2 linked regions of the Drosophila melanogaster genome follow. The protein of the gene in region 2 purifies or fractionates together with the protein of the main gene of each other region. This does not show direct contact. Each region holds a gene or a part of one and is shown on either strand. Other genes may lie near its edges.

Region 1 (9,372 bases), about 13 Mb from region 2:
TGAAAAAAAAAAACTATCACTAAGTGAAAGTTAATTAAGTTAGATTAAGATTTGAACACTTATTGTTAGTCTCTTAACACAAAGGGAAGATTCAATAAATAATAAAAATTAATAAAAAAAAAAAAAAATTGTGTCGCTTGGCAATTTAATGAATTTTAATGAGAACTTACTCGCCGAATGCCAGTAACAGCTTGGTTCTGCATTCATTTTCATTTGTCTGTTTTGTGATGATTTTTGATTTTAGACAAAAGCATATGTACAAGACGATATGGATTGTTACTATAACCGACGACCCTCAAACTGGGAACATAAGTTCTCTTTTGATCTATATTGAGTAAAGAAATTTATAAATGAAGATCTACGTTTCCGAAATTCCCCCTATAGAGCTATAAAACTTTTGAATTTTTTAGAAATGATTTTTATTTTTAAGCGAAATTGTAGTTCCTGACTCCTTCCTAGATGCCAGTGTTAGTCTTGATCCAGTCCAGGTAGCTGGTCACACGAGTGAAGGCAGCGGGGTAGCCCTTCTCGCAACCGGCAGAGGCACCGAATGAGGTCAGACCGATCTGCTCGCTGGACGACTTGAGGACCAGAGGACCGCCGGAGTCACCGTTGCAGGTGGACTTGGCGTCGGTGGTGGCCACGCAGAGGGTTGAGTCGGTCACGACCGAGGTGCCGTAGGTTTGGGCGCACTTGGTGTTGGTGATCACAGTCAGGTCGACATACTGAAGATTGGTAGCCACACCACTGGAGGTGTCACTGGTGCGTCCCCATCCGGAGGCGACAGCGACGTCACCGACGAAGGTCGAGTAGGAGTTGGAGATGCTTGGCAGCTTGACGGCGGAGATCCTGCTGCTGGAGGAGGTGGCGGGGATCTTGATCAGGGAGATGTCGTTGCGCAGGTTAGCGCTGTTCCAGCCGGAGTGGATGATGATGTCGGAGCTGGACACGGTGTGGGTGATCTCGGCGGAGGTGCGCACGGTGGCGCCCAAGTAGACGGTCACGGACTGAACTCTGCGATAAATCAAACATACAATTGGTTAGGACATTGGTTCCAAGATATTTTCGGCATTCCTTCAAGGGACACTCACCCATCGGTACAGTGAGCAGCGGTCAGGACCCAGGTGCTGCCGATCAGAGAACCACCGCACCAGGCGCTGGACAGAGCACTCAGCTTCAGGGAAAGTCCCACCTGGTAGGGGAACTGGCCGACGGCGGCGTTGCTTCCTCCGGTGATGCGACCTCCAATGTCGCCAACGACGGGCATCTCGCGGCTGCGATGGCGCAGCTCCGGCTCGGGGAAAGCGGAGGCGGCCACAGCCAGGGCAAGGATGATCAGGAACTTCATCTTGGGAATTGTTGCTTGTTCAGTTAAGGGAACTCAACTGTTTGGCCAAGGACCAGCTGGGGTCTTTTATACTGGCCAAGTCGCGTCTGCGATTGGGTTGCAATTCAGAAATAGAGCTGTCCCGATTAGATAGGACCACTAAAGTCGGTTCGAACTACCTTATCTGTTGAGATTTTGTGCCGAAGATATGAATGAATGAACTTCAGCCACACGGTCGCCAAAATTACTTTCCCAATCCAAGAGTATTAATCCCGATACGGATCTAATCAGGGCTATGGGCTTCGAGTGGATTTCCAGATCGAGCCGCTGCGATACCAAAGGCCTAGCATGGGGTTGCTAATTAATTTGATTAGTTTTACACATACGCGATATATACATAACTATATATTGCGATACAAAATTGGCAAAGGTTTGCTTTGCTCTTCAGCGTATCTTATAATTCCCATGGTAGTCGAGTGCTATCTTATCTCCTGTCTATAGGGTGAGAAGCCGTAAGCCCACAGTTTAGTTGGGTTTGTTTACCTTCGATAAAGGTCAAGGAGTAGGACGTGAGTTGGTCAAGACTGCTTAAACTTCATAGGAAATCATACCGCCGTCTAACAATTGCGTATCTGGACTCTCTCTTTGATTACAAACACGCAAATTTCAGTTGTTTTCGCAACCGCAGCCTTCTTTATCAGCGAAAGCCGCGTGATTTTATGACGCGTTCAACCGACCACATCACTGCGGTTAATAGCCAATTCAGATGGCCAATTGAAGGCGATTAGCGGGAGGAGGCGCTGCGGTCTGTACCCAATATGCCCTCACCAAAAACGGACACTCAACCCAATGATTTCAATTTCAGTGGCGATTCATCAGCAATTTCCATGGCAATGTAATTTTTCTTTTGTGCCCTTATTGAGCTCCCCAAATTGACTTGCTCTTCTGCAATGCCGAAATGTTTATTGTTATTTATCGGTAACAATTTTCATTCAAGAGAAAACAACCACACATAAAATGGACCATTTGCACCTTCCTTTCTCGACAGAAGAACCTGTTTTGGTTTCATTGCTCAAATTGGTTTTATTGTCTGGGCCGACTATATTGTTTAGCAATTAATGGGCTGCAATTAGGCGTTAATTGCATTTAGTTGGTCATTGCCGTTTGCTGTCGGATCCATGGCAAATATGCGGTTATCCTGGTGTAGACAGTGGGACCCCCCACCTCGCATCCTTCGGCACTGCCGAACGAGGTGACCCCAATCAGGTAGCTAACATTGCGCCAGTGGTACACAACGGGGCCACCGGAGTCGCCATTGCAGGCACCACGTCCATTGCTTCCATCGGTGCACAGGTGACGTCGCTGGCTAACCAATCCTGGCAGGAAATAGCAGATGCAGCGTTCCTGATCGATCACCTCCGCATCTAAGTACTGGAGGAGTCGCGTCCGTTTGTCGGTTGAATCTCCCAAGTAACCCCAGCCAGATAGGGTCACCACTTTGCCTACCAGAAAGTTTTGATGCATGAACTCCCCAGCCAACTCAATGGGTTGCACTTGTTCTGAAGTTCTGACTTTTCTTGGCAGTCGTATTAAAGCCAAGTCACTATATCCTCCAAATCCCAAGTAATCAGGATAAATAATGAAATCTCTATGCGTGACTTGTAACTCCTCCACGGAGTCTTCTACATCGGCAAATACGGTGGCGCCCGTGTATATCTTTGCAGCTATGGCATCGGTCAGACAATGGGCTGCAGTCAAAACAAATTGAAGAGTGATAAGGGAACCACCGCACTTGACCAGATCTGCGCCACTCAGCTGAATCACCAGACCCACTTGATAGGGAAACATGCCGCGCGTGGCCAATTCTCCTCCAGCTATTCGAGTTCTCACAGCAGCGGTTTGATTACCTTCCATCTCGAATTTTTCGCAGCGAAGTCGAAAGTTTTCGTAGCCAAGCTGCCAACGTCTTTCCATGATTGCATCGTCATCGTCCGGTGTCTCCTCTTTGGGGTGCTCAAAAGTATCTAGCCAAGGCTCACTTGATTTAACTAGTGTGGATGATAGAAGTAGCAGGAAGAAAGCACTTGTAGCCTGGTATTGCGCCATTTTATCACTACGGAATTGAAAAAATAATATGGGGAATACCTGTTATTGCATTCTATACTATATCTTTTAAATGTAATATTTCCTTTTTCTGACCAAATTCATAGAATACCCCCCGCCCCCCCCCCCCCCTTAAATATGTGAATAGGAAACTCTATTCATTATGTTGAATGAAATTTATGAATGAATTGCCTTTTTATTTACATATATTATATATATAGCTGATGTTCCTCGTAATGAGTTAGTCCAAGTTCAGGTCTGAGTGGGCTCTTCACGTGAAGTACTGGGCTTGTTGTTGTATTTGCTGGTGTTTTTATAGTCAGCGATTGTGGCATCGACATTGCGTCATCGACTTGGATGCGGCACGTGTCCGCATCGTTTGTTAATTGAATTTGCTTGGGCCGAGTGCAAATTATACGGAGACGGGAGGAGCAGCAGATGTTTGGCATTCAATTCCTCCAGCTACCGTGTAATTGCCGCACGTTTTGGCGATTATGTTGCTTAGGCTAGGCCTTCGTCTCCCTTTGGCATACTGCAGTTTCCTTAATTGCTTTCGAACCCCCCATTTTCCCGGGTCCTCAATTGCACGATTTCAGTCTTAGCCCCCAACATTGGCCAGAATGTCTGGGTCGGGGTCTCTGTATTTATTGACTGTCGTTTTATCAACGCTTAGTTTATTATTTGTTTAATTTACTGCACACCTTCGCCTGCATTTCGACACATGAAAGGCCATTGATAATTTTCCTGGAGTTGAATGGCTGTGGGGTTTTACAATCCAAGGCCCCGATTTCGTCACCGATCATAAAGTACCCACTTTGGCGATATCAAAAGCCAGAAGTGTATTAAGTTAGTCTATAAGAGTTATTATGAAATCTGATTCATTAAACGGTAAGAGAGTAGATCTCAATCTCTAGACATTATTTAAAAGTCTAACATGTGTAAAATCATGATTACAGTTTTATTTATAATATTTTGCAGTTTTCATATTTCATACTTCAACACTTAGATACCGGAAGTTTCCTTGATCCAATCGCGATAGTAAGTGATACGGGTGAAAGCAGCTGGTGCGCCAGACTCGCAACCATCAGCGGATCCAAAGGAGGTGGCACCGATGAGGACACCATCGAGAGCCAATGGGCCGCCGGAATCACCCTGGCAGGTGGAGGCCTTGTTGGTGGTGTCAACGCAGAGGACCCTGCTGGTCACGATCAGGCTTCCGAAGGTTTCCTGGCATTTGGAGTTGGAGATGATGGTAAGGTCCACGTACTGCAGATCGCGAGACACGGCGGTGGCTTGGTCGGAGGTGAGACCCCATCCGGAGGCAACAGCGGTCTTTCCCTCGTAGGTGGAGTAGCTGTTGGAGACGGCGGGCAGGCTGATCTTGTTCACGGTAGCCGAGAAGGACACGGACGAAGTCTGGATCAGGGAGATGTCGTTGCGGATGGTCAAAGCCAGGTAGCTTTCGTGCTGCCTAAACTTTGAGCTGCTGACGACTTGGGTGAACTCGGGGCTAGTACGGACAGTGGCACCGTAGTAGATGGTCACGGAGGCGGCACTATATTGGAAATACTCTCATTAGACCTGGTCTTGAAGGACGGAAAATGCACTTACCCGTCGGTACAGTGAGCAGCAGTCAGCACCCACTCGTTTCCGATGATGGAGCCACCGCACCACCAACTGCCAGCAGAGCTGGAGAAACTAAGTCCCACCTGGTAGGGGAACTGGCCGGCAACGGCGTCCTTGCCGTTGGTGATGCGACCGGTGATGGATGGGGTCGAGACCCTGTCACGGGGATGTACAGGGGCAATATTGGGCAGGAGCCCAGCGGAGGCGGAGGCCAGAGCCAGAACCAAAACTACGAAAACCTTCATGCTGATGGTTGCTCAAACTATGAGTGATTTTCCCTTTCCAACACGGCCTCTTTTATACCCAGACTGAGAAATCTTATCTGCATAGATGGCTGGGCAAGTCCACTTAAATGTTCTGATTAAGTGTCGCAAAAATTTTTTTAAGTTTATTATATGGCGCTTTTGTAAAATTTTTCTATTTGATAAGATATTAATGTAGCTACTGGCATTTATTTCTTCATCACAAATTAGGGACTTTCAAATTGTGCGAATAAAAGATAATTACTTTGGTAGCATTACCACTTTTGTGCTTTTGTTTTGCTAGTTGGGATTTGCTTGGTTAAAAACAATTATTTATTACTTATCAATATTTCTTTATCTTAACTGCCTATTTACGTTGTAACTTAAAGAGTAAGCCATAAAGAATAGGACTTTATAAAAAGATTCCAAAGCAAACATTTGCTTTTATTTTATTTAATTCTTGGTAAATTGGAAGCAATATTGCCATAATGATGTAAGGTACAGTGGTTTTAAGACCTTTTTAAGCCTATTTAATGGTTAAAGATTTACAATTCTGTTGTTTCGCTGCTGATTTCAAAGACAATATAAAATGATCCTTAATACCAGAAATTGCTCACTCTTTAAAGTGTATTCGATCCAGATGAAGGTTTTTGCTGTCTTGGTCTTGGCAATTGCCACAGTTTCTGCTGATATCCTGCGCCAGGACACTCCAGTACATCCCCGTGATAGCTCAGCTGTTCCGTCCATAGATGGTCGCATTACCAATGGAAACAAGGCAGCTGCTAACCAGTTTCCCTACCAGGTGGGACTCAGTTTTAAAAGCTCGGCTGGCAGTTGGTGGTGCGGTGGTTCAATAATAGCGAATACATGGGTACTAACTGCTGCTCATTGCACCAAAGGGTGAGTAATTTTTTTAAAAAATCGATAATCGATTTAAGATTTATTCTGTTAGAGCCTCTTCCGTGACCATCTACTATGGGTCCACCGTTCGCACTAGTGCCAAACTGAAGAAAAAGGTCTCCAGCTCCAAGTTTGTGCAGCATGCCGGCTACAATGCGGCTACTTTGCGCAACGACATCTCCCTGATCAAGACTCCATCCGTCACTTTTACGGTTTCCATAAATAAGATTGCCCTGCCCGCCATCGCCAGCAGCTACTCCACCTACGCCGGACAGACTGCAGTGGCTTCCGGATGGGGCAGGACCTCCGATTCCAGCATTGCCGTCGCCACGAACCTTCAATACGCACAATTTCAGGTCATTACCAATGCTGTGTGTCAGAAGACCTTTGGGTCATCTGTGGTCACCAGTGGAGTTATCTGCGTGGAGTCCATCAACAAGAAGTCGACCTGTCAGGGCGATTCTGGCGGTCCGTTGGCTTTGAACAATAGACTAATTGGTGTGACCTCGTTTGTGTCCTCCAAGGGATGTGAGAAAAATGCGCCTGCTGGTTTCACCCGCGTCACCAGCTATCTGGATTGGATCAAGAACCAGTCCGGTGTGTTTTATTAGCCGTAAAGCCACGCAGTCCAGTTTTCATATTCCTAAAAAGCATTGCCTATTTTTGAGCGGCTATAGGAATGAACCCAACAGCGCAATCTGAATTGTAACTGATTATGTTTTTTATGTTGGACATACCCTTATCTTTTTCTTATCTAAAACAAATATTTTGAGTATTAATTACGTAATAAGGAACCTTTTTATTCATTCCATACAAGAAAATACCAAGAATTTTAGAACGTTTTTTTATTATTGTTAAAAATATTAGAAAATGGCCTTGATCCAGCCCACATCCTGCCCAACCTGGCAGCCATCGGGTGAGCCAAATGAAGCACCACCAGCCGCTCTCCGTACCGACGAAGCTTAGTCCCACCTGGTAGGGGAAATTAGAGTTTAAATGGTTTTTTTTCTACAAGAAATCTACTAACTACGTTTACCTTCCCGTGTCAAACGATTAAGTTTCCGAAACTGGTTGGCTTATCAAGCAGAAAGCTAAAATCCGTATCAATAAAAATCTGTATTAGTTATCAATTGGATTGTAAATTTTCAAGTGGGTAATACCCGAAATTAATGTTACCTTATCTTGGGCAAATACAAAGCGATTAATTTTGGGAATTTTCACTTGGACTTAGATTTGCTTGATATAATATAAAATGAACGTTAAGCTTAATAATATCTACACACCTTAAAATGTGATTTTAAATTTTTCACAATGAAATAAAATGAGTACGATTATTATTATGTTAAGAAAATCTATTTGCTATATACAAGTTACACTATTCTATGAATTGTTTTTCAAACTTCTATAATACAGTATTGCCTAGACTGATATTTCTTGTGTTCTCCATTTGCAAACGGAAATGGCCGCCGAGCACTTCAGTATTGTTTGACTTCCATCCAATGGCGGCCGCATCATCGAACTTTTGTTTGCTTTTTGTTCAATTTTTATTAGATACCATTTGTTTGCGTGCCTTGACTGTTTTGCTACTTGAGCCGAAGCTCCAAGGTTCGAGCTCTGTTTTTATGTTTATGCGGAAATCTGCAGAAATTGTGTCAATATCAATAAAATTAGATTAGTATCGACGAGGACGACGCCGACAAACAAGCAACCGAAGTGTGGCAGGCAACAAATAAAGTCCCTTCCCCTTAGCCTGCCTCCCACTTCCTTCCCTAAGCCAATTTCATGTGTTGTGGGCTGCTTCCGTTTTCGAGCTCACTTCCGGCCCACTTCCTTTGGTTGTGTGTGAGTGGGTGTGTATGTGACAACTGTTTAAATGCCTTGAAATTGTTGCAATTTTGATCCGTCCCAATTGGATAAAGTTTTCGGTGGGCACTAAAGCATAGGGCCCCACTTAATCTCAGTTAATTTTCTTAATGGAAAAGTTTTTCTCAGTTCCTTACATTCATTTTCTCCCTTTTGACTAGGCTCAAAAATTGCTTTTCACTTAATTCTCGTTTTCGGGATTGCTGGTGAATTTTTATGCAGGAACCCAATTTTCATAATGCGCAAATTAGAAAAGTTTTTCGCTTCAAGTTTACCATGCGAATTTTTCCTATTGAATTTGCGCTTGACTTAAAGCTGTTTTTCCCTATTGATTTCGCATTCAAAACATTTACGTGGCATTATCGCTGGCTTTTCATTTTCTCACTACCCCTCAACAATAAACAACATGAACAATTGTGTCTCCATTTCTCATCTGGTGGCGTAATCTTTTATATAAACACAGCCCTGGCGCTCCAACACTTTCCACTCGGTGTCCAACTAAGAAAAACATTTGCACGAGGAGCTCGGAGAATGGCGGGAAAAGCCGGAAAAGTCTGGTAGTGGAAGAGGGAGGTCTTCACTCCGCGCCGACTGAATCACGTGACGAATGATTGAGTGCACTTCTGTGTGCGCTTTTTCACTTAAAATGTGCGATTTCAATCACTAAAAGCAAAGGTACACATCGCAAAATCGAATCAGCCATGGCTGATGGAGTTTCTGGAGTGCTTGCCGCACTGGTTTTTTGCCAGTCGAAGGACCATTAACCGCAAGGTGGGCAAAAACAAAAGACATTCGCAGTGCATTCAAACCGGAAGAGGAAGTTGGCAATAAAAACGCTGAAACAAGTTATGTGCAAAATGTCCGGGACACGTGATGGACTTTTCACCTACAAAAAAAAAAAAAAACAAAAGAAAGGAAATACGAGGAGTTAGAATGCCTGAGGACCTCCGCTAAACATTCCGTACATCAAAAACGACGCGCCACTTAACAAATCCCAAGTTGTCGTTGCGTGCCACGTGACTGGCATACAAAGCGCCCACAGGACTCCTGGCAGGACCCGAAAACAATAGCTCTGCTTTGGTCCGCCGGAATGTTCTTGGCCCGCTCGTTACTTTATGGCCAGCCGGCAAAACGCTTTCACGCACGCCCACCCACGCCGCCGCCCCTCTTGTCCAGCTGGCGACCTGCCGCGCTTAATTTCCGCTTGTAATGGACGCACGATAAATCCTGGCAAGCGTTTCCGAATCTTTAGGACTTTCCTCACGCGGCACGCAATCGAAATATATATTTTTAGAGACTGCCGCCCCCTCA
Region 2 (11,360 bases):
CACAGACCCACTTGGAAATTTGCTCGGTTAAAAAAGGAGAAAAAATGGGGAAAAAAGTAAATACAAAGAGAGTTCCTGAATAAAATTTAGATAAAGTAAAGACTTTGTTTTAATTCTATAAATTACATAAAATTTTTTAAATATATTAAATAATCATATTTTCCCGTATGTTAAATAATTATTTCATAACTGGGTTCGTATTTCAAATTTCCCACCTGCCTTTCTCTCCCGCACTCTTTTGGCACTTTGACTATTTCTCCACGCTGCATACGCTCCCAAAGTTTTGTGTAAAGTTCATTGATATTTTTGTGCTGTGGTATGCGTGTGGCAAGTAAAATGCGTGTGTTCGTGTTGATTCATTGAATTCGCCATCCAAACTAGCTCTCTCTCACTCTCCCACTACTCCCACCACCACCCACCTTACCCTTCGCGATGGAACCTACTTTATTGTTACTCTCTTTTTGCGAGAGCGCGGTTAACATTTCACTTCACTAGAGTGCAAAAGTTAATGGACCACTAATTTAGACAGATAAGAAATTACGGAGCCCAGAAGAATCGGAATCATCAATGGAGTCGCTGTCTACTCTCTAACGAAAGCTCCTGCGCAAATGCTCCTCCAAGAGCCAGTTATATTGGAGACTCGATGAAATGTTTAATTTTATAACCATGACCCTGATATTTACACCCAAAAAGAAGAGACTCACACAAGGATATACGTGTGTACCCATACAGAAATCGCATGGAAGGACAATTTCAAGGATATGCGGCGCGTGCAAAAATTTCTCCACAAACAACAAACTTCCTGCTGCGCCTGCGTTGCACTAGCTTTACATAAAACGCACACCCATACACACCATATACCGTTAGGTAAGGCCCATCACAACGTGCTACTATATACAGATGTACGAACGAACGACTTTCGAGCACAATTTTCATGAATGAAAGTCCCACGCAGCAGCGAAAACCGTTGGAGCAATAAAGAAAGCCAAGCAGACAGAGAGGGAGACAGTCGGCGAGGGAAAGAAACGGCCATACGAAATCCATGCTCAGCCCACGCATTTCTCGCTGCTCACTTTCGTCTTGGCACGCGGCTCCTGAGATTCCAAGGGCGTTATTCCCCAGGACTTTACTCTGCTTTCGGCCCTGGCGCGTGGGAGGCCAGCCGGAATGTTGCAAGGGAGTGCACAGGGAAAAATTGAGCGGCTCTTTAATAAATTACATTTTCTTTCAGCAGTCTCAATACAAAGAAAACATGCGTACTTCAAAAGGATTTCTTTAATAATAAAAACACACACAAAAAATATATATATATATTTATATATAATACTAAGAAATATTTGTTATAATATGAAATCATTTAAGCATTTATTTATTTACGCTTCAGTAAACACAAAAGTGTAAACACACATATTACCATTAATTTTTGTATTCATCGAAAGTTGTACATAATTACTGTCAGTGTATCACTCAAGTATGAAGAAATTAGAAGTAAGCACCTGGATAGCTGTTTCAAAAGGCTGCTCAATTGCGCCTTCCAAGTGTCTTTGGTGGGCTGACCTTGGCGATACATATATGTATTTCTGACAGTGTAGAAGCCAAGGTCGGTCGTCCTCCGGGCTCCATTCTTCGATGACACAAGTTCAAAGTCTGCTCGCAGCCAAAATGGAATACCCAACCCACTTGTATAGCTCAATGAATCACTTTGGGGCATTATCTGTGTTTTAGCAGGAAACTGATGTCGAAAGTGAAGAATTCAATTAAATTTCTGCACCTCACGATTGTCAATCTAAATTGCGCAAGCTACGGCCTTTACCTTGATTATCAGACCCCACGTATAATCAATATGAAGATGATGACGCTTTCCCGAGTGTTTTTATATGGTGCGTGTATAGATCAGTCATAGCCATATCGGCTTGAATGAGTGAAAAGTTCTGAGAAATGGGGGAAATATGGATCATCGTGATTCGCAATGTGCGATACTACTTATATGAGCTTTGCAGGGTTTTATTCATTATCTGGTGTTATTTTTCCACTCATTGTTATCAAGAAAGACCATTAACTGCGTATACTTTCTAACAGATATTTCCCAGCAAGTTATTAGTTATCGCTGTGCTGAAACCTTTTCATAGTTACAAAACTCATATGAGTATAGGATAATTATTGCTACGAGATGAATATTGCCTTCTAATAATTTGGACGTTTATTAACTAGCTGAAGCAATATAATTATTTCTTAAATGCAGTTAGTTAGCTCAACGGCATTCTCCCACACTAGTTTTGCATTCTGCTTTACTGACCTAAAACAACTGGAATGGGATTAAGAATTGGCGCGTCCGCTTATCTGCCATTCATGTTTCCGTTTCGCCCGTTCTGAAATGTGTGTACTCACACTCGCATTCACACTCGCAATTGGGTTCTCGAATCCAGCCCACATCCATATATCCATGTCCAGCCCCCAGAGTTCCGTTCCGCGAGATCTCTGTGAATCACTCGCCCATATGAACAGCGGATGTCGGTGGGCGCCACGGGTCTCTAGAATCAACAATGGTCGATCAACAATCGTCGATCAATGTGCGTTTGACGTTTGACCAGAGCGAAGAGGCTGAAGTATCTCACAGATTCTCAATATCTCAATATATACATATGTTCCCAATCTCCATGATTCTGGGCACTCCGATGACGTCGTTCCAGACAAGTGTTGGTTCAAATTGGTAGCCAAAAACGGTGATAAAAAATTAAATTATCATTTAATAATAGCTTTGATTAAAACAGACATTAATAAATGAACACGAATTTAACAAGTTATGACAAAATATAAATATAAGTTAACATTTCTGCAACAATGCAATTAAAGTTTTTCGTTTTACAATACTATTTGATAATTATAATTATATATCAAATAGCATGCATAGATTGACAAGAAATCCAAGATTCATCCCATATACGAACTGATATCCCTCCTCATCTGAAGATAAGTAATTCGTCATTGTAGAATGTGAATCCTCTTGGGAAGTATCTGTTTCCAGTGCTAAAAAATGTCTAAAAAATCAGATCTGCACCGGACGCTAAAAAAGAAGAAAGGATGACGAGTCGGGACGGCAGATGTGAAAGAATCTGTTGGCTTTGAGCGCCCACGCGAGCAAAAGTTACGATTGATACGAAACAAACGGCGACCTGACCAAACGACTTACCTATTCACCGAATTAGAATGCGAATGACGTTGGTTGTACTCACTTTTGGGATTGGTTTTGTCGGGCCCACTGACTCATTTCACTTTGGCCACTTCACTCAAGGTGGCTTAAACAGCAGCCGGTGCCACGTGTTCCTTCCAAAGGGGAAAGTTATAAAATAAAATAAAATTCACAGGGCTACAGGGAAATGGGGCACCTACGCCAGACTCAAAATCCTGTTGACGTCATTCGGGGGCTGCTCAATGAATTTTCTGCACTTTCTTTACCGGCTTACTGATTGCAAAAGTTGTAAATAACATTGTTCATCACTTAGTCAAGATCATGTGTTTGAAGACATCACGTGGGAAAGAACTACGATTTAGTATGAATAAGTACTAAGTAAGTAAAAATATTTTAAATATTAATTACTTTACGGTTAAGATTGTTAACACTAAAAGAATGAAAATATTGCATAAAAGCTTTCTAAGATTGTATTAAAGTTTAAAGCTTATGTGCTTCAATTGTGATTATAAGCGAAAGATTAAAGATTATAAATTCTTTAACGTTGTTTAAAAGTTGTTGTGGAGAAGAAAGATTTTTTTTTAATATTGAAATATCTCAATGTTCATCTGATTACTGTATTTTTGAGTGGCAATCTAAAAGTAATATCTAGAATCTCAATCAATCTGTATCTTTTTTTGATGTTTACTTTATAGGATTTCATTTTAAAGTAGAGCAATCAAGAGTAGAAATTCCTGCCACCCCCCTCCTCCTTTTTTTGCCATCGTCATCGTGGTTGTCATCGCCCATCCGTGCCATCCTTCCCCAATTGATTCGTCGGAGGGGCCAACGAAGGTTAATGCGAGCCAGTGTTTGACCTCCAGGGTCAAGCTGAAGGCAAATTAATTGCGAGAATTGGGTGCGACAGCTAGAGAAAGCGCAGAGCTGCTGTAATTGATACAAGAACAAAAACGAGAAGCCAAATTGCAGCCAATTGATCGAGTTAAGGGGCCGATGCTCTCGAAGTTGGCACTTCCGTTGCGTTATAAGGGCTGGGGAAAGCCCCCCAATCAAAAACAATTTCTCTCAGTGTGCCAGCGAGCTCGATAATTAGGCGGTCAACATAAGTAACATGGAGATATAGATCTTTCATGGAATCTTCGTCCTTGATTACTGCTCTAAAACCTATAATTGAGCATAATATTTTGGTCAGCAAATCAACTTATACTGGTAACAATTTGATAAGAAAATGTGTGAATTTTTAAGTACTATTTATTACTAGTTTCTAGTGATGCAGTTGTAGTTGTACGGCAATGAAATGAAAAACTTCAACGAGAGCAGACTTCAATCCTAAACGGATTAATTAAGATATCGTGGTAGTAAAGATTTTACATGGCAACGTGGTACTCGGCGTAATGGACGCCACCGAGGGTGTTTCGGCCCACGCGAAAACTTGGCCAAAAATAAAATGTAAACGGTAATAAAAGAAGAGTGTCGCCTATGTATGTACAGGGACACCCACAAAAGTCTATATACAGTTATATTTTTTGATAACGCTCGACGGCGGAAACATTGCACGCCAACGCCCGAGCAGCGCTGTCGGCGCTTTTCCAGACAACCGAGCCGCGCCATTCATTTCCACCAGCTGCAAAGGGCGAAAAAGACGAACGCAGATACTAGCGCTCAGATACAGATACAAAGTCGAACTCGCAGATACACAGACACACACACACACAGCGGCAGTGTTTTACGCATTCCAATCAGCCATGTGGGCGTCCGATTCCCTCCGCTGCAAATGCAAATGTATATATATACACATAGATATACAAATATATACCTACTACATATGTACAGATATAATAAAAACTTATGAATGAAAAGCTTCTGCGCAGCGTGGGCGGAACGCTGGGCCAGCTTTTTGGGGGCTAAAAGCTCCAGAGGCCGCTCAGCACCCCCCGACCCCCGCCCCCCATCACTCGCTCGATGGCAATCGCATTATGCCAGCGTCCAAGCTGCGGATACACACGGAATATTGATTGGAGGCAAAGTCTCCAAATCTGAAGTAACCTTGAAATGTGGGTGGCCGGTGGGCCGAAGGTTGAGGATAAAAGGGTCTTGTGGGGGGGGGGGGCGAGTTGCTGGAGGGGAGTGTGAGACATTTGGATTGCGGATGGCAAAGAGCTCGTGTGCTGGCTGAGCTTATAAAGTGCTGTTTAATTAATGAACACTGCTGTTCGAAAAATTGTTTCAAGAACTTGCAAATTGAAATTCAAATCTTTCCTTGGTTGCACGAGAGTCGCAAGAAGAAGGTTACTCCCTAGTGTCTCGACTATGAGATACTCTCTCCTTACTTCTTATTTTCGTTTACCACTATCAAAGTGATATGAATATAGAAATAGGTGTACTATTTTGATAATATTAAAATATTTTTTTTTTTAGTTTTTAATAAATTTTGTTATTTTTAACATTTTTAACATTTTCTAGATTCTACATTCTAGATTCTAGATTTCAAAGCGAATGCTTTAAAAAATCAAATTTATTTTAAGTTATATCAAAAAATACTCAACGTCTCAAGTAATTGACAAAATAAGGTACAATATATGGAAAATGTGTAGAAAAAACTTTTAAATTAAACGGACACAACTTTAATCGATACATCGATAGTTGGGTCCTATGTAATGTGACCTTATTATAGGGCTACCATTTTTAGCAATACGGGAAACTTGTGCTAGACAGCAATCTGGTCACACTGCCAAACAGCTGTTAATGGTCAAAGACCCCCAAAATATTAAATACAAAAGAAATTAAGTCTGCTTACCGTGCAAGTAATTGAACAGTGTGCTAAGGACCCAGTTGTACAGTCAAAGTAATCCCGAGGGAAATGGAATCGGATACGCTGGACCAGGAGAGTGCCGCGGCTGCTCTAAAAAAACTATCGCCAAGTGAAAGTCCCGAAAGTTCGAAGAAATGGGAGCCGACTTCGGGAGAGTGGGTTGCGGCGGGTGGGGGAGAAGAGGCGCCGCCAACAAAGAGACAAAAGACTGCAGACGAAAAGGAGGAGAATCGGGAGGAAGACGAGGATAGCGAGGAGAGCGTTGATGAGGAGGAGGATGATGGCGAGGGCATCGTCCAGATTGGCGGCACCATCAGCCCAAGGCATTTCCAGCGCATCCCCGTCTTTATCGTCGACTACCACAACGATGTGCTGGAGTTCATCTACCGCTGCTTTGCCACCCGCCACCTTCCGCTGCAGAACAACACCCTTGTCCACTTCGACTCGCATCCGGATCTGGTCATTCCACGGCACATTGCCGCCAGTTCCACCTACCAAAAGGAAACCATGTTAAATGAGCTTAGCATCGAGAACTGGATCATGCCCACACTTTATGCAGGTGAGGATTTCTATGGGGAATCGAAGAGAACTATATTATATAGAAATATAATATTAAATGCTATTATTTTATTTCTAGAAATAGAAAACAATGTAAAAGGACAAATAAAAAAGTTCTATGGTCTAATTTTACTAAGAACTTAATATTTAAAGATTATCTCTTAGTAACTGCTAAATATCCATTGAGTACTGTTGTCAAAAAGATTCCTTTCTACATTTAAAGGATTTCAAACCAAAAACTTATTAACTGTGATGAGTCTAATGACATTAATTAGCTATAATTGCATTTTCTTATAGAAATTAGTGTAAAATAATAACTTATTGCTATATTACTTGCTCTTAGGACATTTCAACCGCGTCGTGTGGCTGAAGAACTCATGGTGCCAGCAGCTGCCCACTGGCAGGCACGACTTTAAGGTTGGACAAAAGGACGATCGCATTGGAGTGGACTGTCCGTTGGACTACTTTATTGCCGACGGCAACTACTGCACTACGGAGGATCTGCAGGATGCCAAGAGCGTGGAGCTGCAGGTTCACGATGCAGACAACGAAAGCCTCAATCCGAACGAATTCCTAACGGAGAAGGACGCCAAGGGATTCGTGCTGGACATAGACCTCGACTTTTTCAGCACCTCCAACCCCTTCTTGGAAATATACAAGGATGCCGATTGCTACAATCAGCTAAAGGAGATCTTCCACTTCGAAAGCGTGGAGAAGGTGAAGAAGTCGGGCACGGCTACTATAGCAGATTATTTGGCCACGGCAGAGAGGCGACAGACTCAGTTGGATGCACTGAAGACGATTTTCTGGCATCTGGAGGAGGAGCGCAATTTCGAGGGACTGGAAAAGCCGGACGAGACCGTGGTCACGCCCGAAGTGTACGCCAAGATTGTGAAACTGGCCGATCAGCTGCAGGAGAAATATCCAGACGATGAAATCGACTGGCATTTGATCTTCGATTCGGGCAGCACCACCGATAATAATGGCTTGCCCCACCACATCAGCATCGCCGAAGAGTTGGAAACGTACTTTGCAAACTTCAAGCGTTTCTTACAGCGCCTGCCAGTTCCTCCAGTGGCCATTACAATGGCCCATTCCGCTCAAGATGACTACTGCCCCCAGGATCAGGTGGCATTCATTGAGGAATGCGTTCTACGCCTGCTTAAGGAGGTTTTTGGCGAAAGACTGCACGACAAAGCCATCCTGCACTATATGGACGATCCTTGGGATGTGATGAAGCTCTAAGCTTATGGATAACTAGGGGTTCTTTCGCCCGCCACTGCGAATTAGATTCTGAATTTACAAAACTCGTTTGGGCGGGAAAACTCCACGACTAAAAGATACCCGTAGTGATTTCGAATTAGAACCTAATGATGGAAAATCCAATACTAATTATAATAATATTTTTTACTTTGAAATATACGCGAAGTATTTATTACAGACAATTAAACAAACTCATTTAATGCAAATTGGGTATATTCAAAATAATTTGTTTTTAAACTTTGAAAGGTTTCGCGACGAGATACCTTTTAAACGACATATTAGGTGCCCCAGTAAAATCAAAATGTGTATGCACAGATAATCTATATTTAATCGTAAATACTAAATGTTAGTTATAAAATGTACATGTATTTAAGGATAACTCTCTTCCATTCAGTGCCGTAGGTTCCTAGAAAATGCGCAAAATCTCATTTATTGACATGGACATGGCATGAACACCTGAATTTCTGGCTGGGGGTTATGACTGGCCACCTCATTGAGGGCAGTCAACTTTTAATTGTCGACCCCAATTCGTGGCCGAAATCAATAAGCCAATGGCCCCAGGCGAAACTTTCAGTAGCATTCTGTGGCTCAGTCGTTGTGGAAGTTATACAGATTAGCTTGAGAGACATAGTGAGTTCACTTAAGCTAATTAAACACTTTTCGCTTTGTTCTATAGGTGGTAAAACTTAAAATGATTTCCATTTCGAAAAAAAGTAAGATCATTGGAATTTAAGTAACTACTACATTTAGTTTGTCAATGCTTGAGTTCATTCAAAAACTAAAATTTGTGTTACTTTTAAAAATTGCATCGACAACAGCTGCACTACATCTACATTTTTCGACATGGAATTACAATATGGTAGGGATTCCTAGGATATACTTGGATTATTTGGCTCACAGCTCCTCCTTGTCGCCCTTGGCTTTTTCCCTTTTGGCCTTTTTAGCCTCCGGAGGAGCAAGCTGCTCCTTGAGGCATTCCCTTTCGGCCTTTTTCTTGAGCACATGGTCCTCGCAGAGATGCTTCTTCAGTGACTTCTCATCCTGGTGCTTAAAGTACCATTCGCTGATGGTTTCCTCGTACTCCTCCAGTAGGTTTTCGCACTGGGTCTTCATTTGGGTGACCTCCACCGGGGGCTTGTCCCACAGCTCGTAGGGTATTCCCAGATCCACCTTGACGCCCTTGTCCACAAGGCCATGGAGCGTCTGGAAGGTCTGGGACATACCTTTGGCGAATCTCGTGCTGTCAGAGCGTTCCTTGTGCAGATTGTACTCCAACACTCGCTCGCACACGTTCTCCAGGGACTCGAGCAGTCGCAGTTCGCTGCGCCGGTATTCAGTGCGCTTCTTGGGCTTCACATCGTCAACGGAGTATCCGATTTCGATGACGTCGTGCGACTTGCCGGTCTCTCCAAGTCGAGCTTCCAATTCGGTGGCCAGGATTTTGCAGGCTTCGCAGCGGTTTGCGTAGCGAACGCCTTGCTCCTCCTCGGGCGAATCAGCTCCGGCTAACTGCAGGACGACCCAGAGTGTTACAAAGCCAGGCAGTCTTTTGAGGAGCATTTTCACTGCTTGATAAATTCCAAAAAAACAATAATAAACCTGACGTGGAAATGCCGCTCGCGAGAAGACCAGTGCTGCAAAACACCAACAACCGAACGGAACCGACGACTTAGCTTTTTCCCGCCAATACCTTTAAAATAATCTATATCAAATCTATTTTCTTTTTTATGATTTATTATCCTACATACATTTAAAAAAAACTTTTATTTTATTTTATTTGTTTATTAAAACAGAAGTCATGCTTAAACGGTTTATTAAAATTGAATCAATATGGTTTTATTATGAATGCCGAAACATTTTATCTGTAACAAGATGCAGCTTTCAAATTAACGAACCAGATGTTCTTACGTTGTTTAAATGCAATTAAAAAATTCCCATAACATTTCTATCCATTCCAATATGTTCTCTGTTAAAGACATTAAAAATCCCACGATAATTGAAAATTCGGTTAATGGTCGCCTTGTTTTAAAAAACAAACAGCTGGAATTAGTTCAAAGTCCAGTAAATGACTATTGAGGATCGCTGTTTTCGAACTCGGTCTGAAATACGCTGGGTATTTGATTGACCATGTCACTGGCCAGTAGGCTGCGGCCAAACTTTTGAAATGCAGCCGCGTTTAACTTTTTCACAAAGTAACTAGAGGCACATGCAGCTACCAGGGCGGGATTGGGTTCACCCGACTGCAGTGACCACGAGAAGAAGGTGGCCAAAGATCCGGAGAGCAGGTCACCTTGTCCACCGCACCTGCGACCGGAACCGCCGCTAGGCATTGAGTGAACTTCGTTGCAGTGAGGGAGATAGATCTTGTCGTTGGCGCCCTTCTCCAGGACAGTTACTCCGGCTCCCAGGAGGGACATTTTCTGGCGCGCCGCCTGGTCATCCTCGCCAAACAGTCTCTGGAACTCCATGACATTTGGCGTGAGTATGACATTCGGCTGTCCACAGATCAGATTCAGATTGTCGTTGAGCAGAAACAGTCCATCGGCGTCTATGACAACTGGTTTCTTGGTGTCCATGCACAGCTTGAGTACGTTGGATGCCGTCTTCAGGATGCCCGGCTCCCGACCCAGTCCAGGTCCAATAACCTTAACGATTCTAAATTTAGCATTTAATTGTATAAATGTAGCATATACGTATGTAGGTGGGGGGGGGGGGCTACTCACAACGACGTGAAGTCGCTCTAACCAGGGCGCTATTCTCTCCACTGCATCCACACAGTCTAGCACTGGATGCACGATAAGATCGGGACTGTAGGACTTGATAATGGCCGACGCATTTGAATGGCAGAACACATGCGCCAGGTCAGCGCCCACTCTTATCGAGGAAATGGCCGCGAAGTACGGCGCTCCGGTGTACTCCAGGGACCCACCGATCACTCCAATGCGTCCGTACTGTCCCTTGTGCTTGTTGTTCACCAGCTTGGGCACCACCGTCTTGAACAGAGCCAGCAGCTTGGGCAGGTGCACTGGAATATCCGAAACTGCAGCCATCTCTACCGGCGGCAATGGTTTTCTTTGTGGACTGTGCCCGCTGTTTACTATTGCTGTGACTAGTGATGCACATTGTGGTCGGGATTTCCTATCGGTTGCTGCTATCACTGTGAGAAATACTTTGTTCCCACGGAAGCCGTATTATCAGTAGTTAAAGCTATAGAAAATGAAAACATGGAAAAATGTGAGTTAGCTAATTATTCTAAAATAGATTTTTTTTAGTATTTTACTATCATATTTTTGTATTATTTCTTAATTAATTCAAAAACTATTCAATTCTTTAAGTACTCTTCACATTGTATAGTTACACTATACATTCTATACACATCACTTTCAACTCTTTTGCTTATCAATCAAAATTCCCTGCGTTATCGACCAGTAATCGACTTTGAAATTCACTTTCAACCGCTGCCCCGGCAACCAGTGGGCTCCAAAACAAAGAACCATGCGCTTTCGCCCCCCAATTCTCGATTCCCGCCCCAAGCAG

What was found. The genes of interacting proteins can lie anywhere in the genome.
Region 1: the proteins of CNPYb (region 2) and yip7 purify together in Drosophila melanogaster (affinity purification with mass spectrometry, with the first as the bait; one large-scale study listed by BioGRID). This does not show direct contact.

What each region holds. Positions count from the first base shown.
Region 1 is NT_037436.4:6,031,172-6,040,543, reverse strand, and holds yip7 (yippee interacting protein 7), read right to left. Parts: upstream 5,329-9,372; 5' UTR 5,302-5,328; coding exon 5,042-5,301; intron 4,986-5,041; coding exon 4,433-4,985; 3' UTR 4,369-4,432; downstream 1-4,368. Other genes in the region: Jon65Aiv (jonah 65Aiv), read right to left, coding at 456-1,014, 1,092-1,348; CG6462 (uncharacterized protein), read right to left, coding at 2,474-3,433; CG10477 (uncharacterized protein), read left to right, coding at 5,939-6,198, 6,251-6,809.
Region 2 is NT_037436.4:19,086,760-19,098,119, forward strand, and holds CNPYb (canopy b), read right to left. Parts: upstream 9,459-11,360; 5' UTR 9,384-9,458; coding exon 8,718-9,383; 3' UTR 8,131-8,717; downstream 1-8,130. Other genes in the region: MESR6 (misexpression suppressor of ras 6), read left to right, coding at 6,051-6,561, 6,640-6,681, 6,904-7,805; Naxd (NAD(P)HX dehydratase), read right to left, coding at 9,893-10,468, 10,547-10,873.